Linked DNA regions of Macaca mulatta. The protein of the gene in region 1 interacts with the protein of each later gene in a pairwise test. Links are inferred from orthologs where the notes say so. Each region holds a gene or a part of one and is shown on either strand. Other genes may lie near its edges.

Region 1 (2,930 bases):
CATGTGCCACCTTTTTTTTTTCTTTTTGAGATGGAGTCCTGCTCTGTTGCCCAGGCTGGAGTGCAGTGGTGCGATCTTGGCTCATTGCAACCTCTGCCTCCCAGGCTCAAGCAATTCTCCTGCCTCAGCCTCCCGAGTAGCTGGGATTACAGGCACATGCCACCATGCCTGGCTAATTTTTTGTATTTTTTTTTTTTTTTGGTAGAGACAGGGTTTCACTATGTTGGCCAGGCTGGTCTTGAACTCCTAACCTCGTGATCTGCCCACTGTGGCCTCCCAAAGTGCTGGGATTACAGGCGTGAGGCACTGCGCCCAGCCAGATTTTTATTTGGTTGTTTTGAGACAGGGTCTCACTCTGATGCCCAGGCTGGAGTACAGTGGTGCAATCACAGCTCACTGCAGCCTCAACTGCTAGGGCTCAGGTGATTCTCCCACCTCAGGCACCTGAGTAGCTGGGATTACAGGCATAGGCCACAGCACCTGACTCATTTTTTTGTATTTCCTTGTAGAGATGGGGTTTCACCATGTTGCCCACCTAGGCCTCCCAAAGTGCTGGGGTTATAGGTGTGAGTTACCGTGCCTGGGTTCCTGAAATTTTAAAAGGCAAAGCTTTTGGCTGCTTAAAAAAACCTAATAGTTGGCCAGGCAAGGTGGCTCACATTTGTAATCCCAGCACTTTGGGAGGCTGAGGCATGCATATCATGAGGTCAAGAGATCAAGACCTTCCTGGACAACATGGTGAAACCTCATCTGTACTAAAAATACAAAAATTAGTGGGGCTTGGTGGTCCATGCCTGTAGTCCCAACTACTCGGGAGGCTGAGGCAGGAGAATTGCTTGAACCCAGGAGGCGGAGGTTGCAGTGAGCCGAGATCGTGCCACTGCACTGCAGCCTGGTGACAGAGCAAGACTCCGTCTCAAAAACAAAAAACCAAAAAACCCTGATAGTCTACAAAAAATTTGCCTGTGCATAAATTAGCATAATTTTTTTTTTTTTTTTTTTTTTTGAGATGGAGTCTCACTCTGTCCCCCTGGCTGGAGGGCAGGGGCGCGATGTTGGCTCACTGCAAGCTCCACCTCCCGGGTTCCCACCATTCTCCTGCCTCAGCCTCCTGAGTAGCTGGGACTACAGGCGCCCACAACCGCGCCCGGCTAATTTTTTGTATTTTTAGTAGAGATGGGGTTTCACCGTGGTCTCGATCTCCTGACCTTGTGATCCGCCCGCCTCGGCCTCCCAAAGTGCTGGGATTACAGGCGTGAGCCACCGCGCCCGGCCTAGCATAAAAATTTTTAAAGGTTGCCGGGCGCGGTGGCTCACGCCTGTAATCCCAGCACTTTGGGAGGCCGAGGTGGGCGGATCACGAGGTCAGGAGTTCGAGATCAGCCTGGCTAACATAGTGAAATCTGTCTCTACTAAAAATACAAAAATTAGCTGGACATGGTGGTGGCGCCTGTAATCCCAGCTACTCGGGAGACTGAGGCAGGAGAATGACTTGAACCTGGGAGGCAGAAGTTGCAGTGAGCCAAGATCGCACCATTGCACTCCAGCCTGGGCGGCAGTGAGACTCCATCTCAAAAAAAAAAAAACGTTAAAGGCAAATGGAAGTTCCTTTTCATATACTGTTCTGCAACTTAGTTTCTTTACTTACACCATGAACATCTTTCCCTACCACTGTAAAAAGTATCTTGGACTTCTTGACAGCTATTTAATATTCCTTATCTTTGATAAGCCATTGGTAGAACATTTGGACTTTTACTAATTTCTCATTTGTATAAATAGTGCAAGGATGTATAAGAATGTACATATTTGTTGGCAAACCTGGGTGCTTTTATGGAATGGACTTCCAACTGGCATTTAGGGGTCAGAGTTCTTACAGAGCTGCCTGTTCTTCCACTCCAGGTGCCTTCAGGACAACAACTGGGACTACACCAGATCTGCCCAGGCCTTCACTCATCTCAAGGTAAGGTCTGGAAATACAGTGGCAAAAACACTAGGATCTCTGGGCCTTCCGGAGGTCAGGTTAGCTGGGGTTGCTGAGTGGAGATGGTAGGCCTGCCTCTACTGACCTTCATTTTTCTCCAGGCCAAGGGCGAGATCCCAGAAGTGGCATTCATGAAGTGATTGTAGTCATGCCCCAGAAGCAGCCTCCCCTGTAAATAGTCCTTGGATATTACCATCTGGTTGTCGTCTGTCATCTCCTCCTGTCTGGCCCTAGGCCGCCCCGTGACTGTGACCGAGGGAGGGAGGGCTGCCTGATCCCTCTCCTCGCCTGCCCTGGAAGCCTTCAGAAGATTGAGCCTCACTGATGCCCGGAAGCCAAAGCTTACTTTGTAGAACTGACACTAAACTACCCGAAGGATTTAGGTGCTTTGTGTACTTAACCCCAGGACCTCCTTACTTTTTAATATAAAGAGTGATGTTGTATTTTGTGTTCTGCGTTCTGGATTGGTTGTCTCCTCCCAGCCCTGAGCGGGAGGGCGGGCCCTCTAGCGGGGCGGGGGAGGGGGGGGCCAGGGAGGGCGGGAGGCGGCTCCGCGACAGGAAGTCCCACCCCGGAAGTCGGCTGGCCATGGCGGCGCCTTGGAGGCGGTGGCCCACGGGGCTGCTAACTGTGCTGCGACCCCTGCCCACGCGCCGGCCCCTGCAAGGCGCGACGCTGCAACGGGATGTGTTGCTCTTTGAGCATGATCGGGGCCGCTTCTTCACCATCCTCGGGCTGTTCTGCGCTGGCCAGGGCGTCTTCTGGGCCTCCCTGGCTGTGGTAGCCGTGTCCCGGCACCCGGTCCGGGTGAAGCCTCTGGATGCGGAGGTCCCAAACCGTGGCCCCTTCGACCTGCGCTCCGCGCTCTGGCGCTATGGTCTGGCCGTCGGCTGCGGCGCCATCGGTAAGACGTGGGCTGGCTTCCCACTATGGCAACGTGGGGTGGCGG
Region 2 (4,124 bases), on another chromosome or scaffold:
GTCACACAGAGGACATGCAGATTTAGCAGTATTGATATTATACTCTATCTTGTTGGATTTAAAGACACCCTGTACCCACATGTACACCAACAGCAGGTCACACATTAACAGTTGTAACTAAGCACTGTGACAAATTAGCCAGTTCTTCCCACATTAGTCCCTATTAAAACAAAAATGGGGGGAAGGGAGCAAAATAAGTTGCTACAAAATGGGCAATATAATTTTGCCACAATTGCCAAGGTTTAAAGAGCAAAGCAATTGTAGCTAAAGATAACTGAATAAAATGTTTGCAAGTGTTTTAAGGAAAACGTATATAATCATTTTTAACCCCTGCCTTTTAGTATAAGGTCAATACTGCCAATTTCATCTGTGACAATAGCACTTGGAGTCATACCATTGCCTCCATTATTGATCTGATCCTCCTCAATCCTCCTTTTGACAATCCTAAAATGATTGAAATGTGCTCCACAATCCTTAATCCAAAGCATTCTTAATCCATCTCTTCAGATATGTCTACAGAAAGACACATGAAAAGCAAGATAAACATAAGAACTTCCCCAGGTAAGATAACCACAAACACCCCCAACATCCCAGTTCACACAAACCAGGGCAGAATAGACATTTACACAATATCACAGTCTGAAGAGTATGGAGTTAACTAAATTTAAACAATCCTGTCTATGACATCACTTAAAATACAATTTATCGAAGACACGAGGGGAATGTAGATGTTAGGAGCAAGGGGATATTACAAGAATGCAATTCAACACTTTAGCCCATTCTGAACAAAACAGTTTGAATTAAAAAATGAAAAGATTGTACTGAATAAAGGAAAACTGTATACAACATGGGTTCTACAAAAAGTGTCACCAATCATCTTATGTACGAGAGCGAGATCTGCTATGACGGGGAGAATAGCGTGGTGATCCTCTGCTTCTCCTTGGGGAGTAACTGCGACTCCTGCTGTTGCTTCTGCTACGGCTTCTGCTACGACTACGGCTTCGAGATCGAGATCTTCCATAACTTGGACTTCTGGGCCCATCAACTTTAACCCGGATGTAGGCAGTTTCTCCCTATTGGATAGACAGAACTTTCCATTGAAAGATCTAAGCTTTCATCTATCTTCAGGCATGCTGAATGCATACAATGCAACTACAACCAGAAATCTGGCAATTTACTTGGACACCCTTGCCTGAATTCTTACCTTCAAATTCCACTGTTAAGACCACTGTATCCAATTCTGGTCAAAGAAAAGAATAAGCGTATAACCTACCTCATGAGATCTAAACTTAGTGTTATCCAGTTTTCGAACTGCATAGGTCATATCTTCTTTCCGTACAAACTCCACGACACCAGTGCCATCTCGGTAAACATCAGCATAACATACATCACCTGCTTCACGCATGTGATCCTTTAAATCCTGCCAACTTCCACTTGGAGGCAGTCCTGAAAAAGTGATTTTTTTTCTTAGTATCAATTATCTTAAATTTCACGTTAAGCTGGTAAGGTACATTAGAACAAAGAGTACTTTAAAATACTTAATAGGTGTACTTAAGTGATACCAGGTAAAGAGCTGGTAAGATTCTGGGATCCAGAGTCCAAAATTATTTGTAACGGATCTTCGTATCTAGTACCGCAACCTAATTTGGTAAATCACCACAGCAGCAATCCTCGTTTATTAAATTCACCCAAAAACTAAAGCAATTTAAGACCTAGCATGAAAAATTTGCAATTGTTAAACCGATCATGCAAGACAAAAATTTTAGGTAGCTTCCGTCCCTTCACATCAATCCACACAACCAAGTACACTCACCAGAGACAACCACTCTGTTTTCAGACCGCCTGGATGGGGGGCCATAGCGACCTCGGGGAGCTCCGCCACCTCCACCCCCGCCGCCGCCTCGGCCTGTTCCACGGCCGCTTCGAGGAAACTCCACCCGCAGACGGTACCCATCGTAATCATAGCCGTCGCGACCATACACCGCGTCTTCCGCGTCTCTGCGGGATCGCAGAAAGTAAAAGGCATGAGAAAGACCAGGAGGAGAAGCTCGCTCAGTCGGGAACCCCCCGCACATGCGCACCCAACGTGGAAGAGCCCACATGCGCCGCATAATAGGAATGGCCCCTCCCCCACCCAGAAACACGCCAGGCTCCCAACCACTACACCAGCCCTCAGCGCCTCAGTTTCCCGCTCCAGCCTGCGAATGGGCTCCGGGGACGTCCAAGGCGAGGCGCCAGAGAAGCCACACCAACTCAGCTCCTTACTCGACTCCTGCATGGGCGATACAGTCTCGCCCCAACCTCTCTAAGAGCCCCCGCTTCCCCGTTCTCTATGTTAAGGCCTTGGAGCCTTCCCCGACTACTCGGACCTATTTCCTCAAGGCTGCAAGCCCCATGCCGCCTCACCGCGGGTCCTCGAACTCAACGAAGGCGAAGGGCGGTCCCCCGCGGCGATTCTTGAGGTCGATGTCGCGGATAGCGCCGTATTTGTAGAACACGTCCTCAATGTCCTTGGTTCGGATGTCTGGAGGTAAGTTACCCACGTAGATGCGGCAATCGTTGTTCCCTGCGGGGCCACGAATCACACCACCTCCCGACATGGCGGTGACGAAAAGCGCGGACTCGAGAACAGGCCTTCCCACCAAGCCTAGCGCACCGCAGAGCGAGCCCGCAGCGGCACCACGTCTCCCGCGGCCCCTCCAAAATGGCGCCTTTATCAGCTCGGCGCACGGATATGGGGGGGAGACAGAGGAAGAGAAGCGGAAGGAAACAGCGATTCGATCCCAACACGCACGCGCGGGAGCGCAACGGGTGCTGCGAGGGATACGCGCAACGCACGCGCACGCACGCGCGACGTCACCCTCCGCACGAAGGGGGAAAAAAAGTCCCCCGCGTTCCCCGCTTGGGGTGGTTTGCGAATAGAGTGAGCAGCCGTTTGGTAAAAGTTAAATAAAGAACTCTCGTTAAAGGAGCTAGTCATCCAGGTCGAGTCTTGAAGGATAGTCAATTTCCCCAGGAATGAGGAGCTTTGAAAGCAACTCGGCGCCTTCAAAGGACTTGGTGAAACCTAGCCTAAAGCCTTGTCCCACCATGCTCTGCGGCGATAACGGCCTTTGGCGGGAAAGAGACTCGGAGGCGGGGCTAAAGGGGGAGGGCTCGGGCCGTTGCTCCGGAAACCCGGGTATCTTCGTAGAGTGCGTCTAGTCCAGAGCTGAGTTGCCGGTGACTGAATAGAGAGCTGGGGCGTTGGTTTGTCTTCCCGCCCCTGCTGCGAACAAGCTGTGGCTGCTTAGACAGATGTGTCTAATTTAGCGAAACCGGTTTAGATTCCTTAATCCTTTTCATTAAGAACCATTCCACCTTCTCGTCAGAACTTTGCATAGCTCAGTTCAGCACTCTTTGTGCTAGTCGCAGTGGGCCCGTACCCCGACCTTTCAACGTGGTACCCGCCAACCAGAAGGGGTAACAGTACTGCTTCTGGTACCCACACCTCTTTATCTCTTGTTAATCGCCTATCCGTGGGACTAGCGCAGATTGCCTGCAGAATGAATTGTTTCTGTTGTTTCCTTTTAAAGAACGAGAAGGAAGAAAAGGTGCGTGTGTGCAGTCCTTTTTTCAAAAGTTTCCTCTAAAAGTTACTGAAATTGAAAATACCGGTCCTCCCAGGTAATAAAATGGACCGAAATGGATGAGAGCCGTGTCCACTAGAGACCGCGGTTGCTATTCAGGACTGTGATCTTATTTGCCTGCGACATTGGGAGATAACATTTTACATTTTTTTTCGACGTCTGCAATCTGGATTTTTATGTGAAATCCTGGGATTTTTAAACGTCGCTAATGAATTCAAATTAAAATTAGGCTGGGCGCGGTGGCTCACGCCAGCACTTTGGGAGGTAGAGGCGGCAGATCACTTGAGGTCAGGAGTTCGAGACCAGCCTGGCCAACATGGTGAAATCCCGTCTCTACTGAAAAAAAAAAAATTAGCCGGGCTTGGTGGCGGGCGCCTGTAATCCAGCCTACTCGGGAGGCTGAGGCAGGAGAATCGCTAGAACCCTGGAGGTGGAGGTTGCAGTGAGCCGAGATCGCGCCATTGCGCTGCAGCCTGGGCTACAGAGTAAGACTCC

The links.
Region 2: the proteins of NXF1 (region 1) and SRSF1 interact in binary tests that used the Homo sapiens proteins (3 or more experiments, as listed by UniProt). The link is inferred for Macaca mulatta from reciprocal best matches to the Homo sapiens genes NXF1 and SRSF1.

What each region holds. Positions count from the first base shown.
Region 1 is NC_133419.1:11,264,687-11,267,616, forward strand, and holds the end of NXF1 (nuclear RNA export factor 1), read left to right. Parts: intron 1-1,858; exon of another isoform or gene 1,859-1,899; coding exon 1,900-1,960; intron 1,961-2,082; coding exon 2,083-2,121; 3' UTR 2,122-2,428; downstream 2,429-2,930. Other genes in the region: TMEM223 (transmembrane protein 223), read left to right, coding at 2,570-2,885.
Region 2 is NC_133421.1:51,982,240-51,986,363, reverse strand, and holds the start of SRSF1 (serine/arginine-rich splicing factor 1), read right to left. Parts: upstream 2,804-4,124; 5' UTR 2,601-2,803; coding exon 2,407-2,600; intron 1,999-2,406; coding exon 1,814-1,998; intron 1,447-1,813; coding exon 1,274-1,446; intron 1,091-1,273; exon of another isoform or gene 1,074-1,090; coding exon 879-1,073; 3' UTR 514-878; coding exon of another isoform or gene 475-513; 3' UTR 1-474. UniProt on the Homo sapiens protein: Plays a role in preventing exon skipping, ensuring the accuracy of splicing and regulating alternative splicing.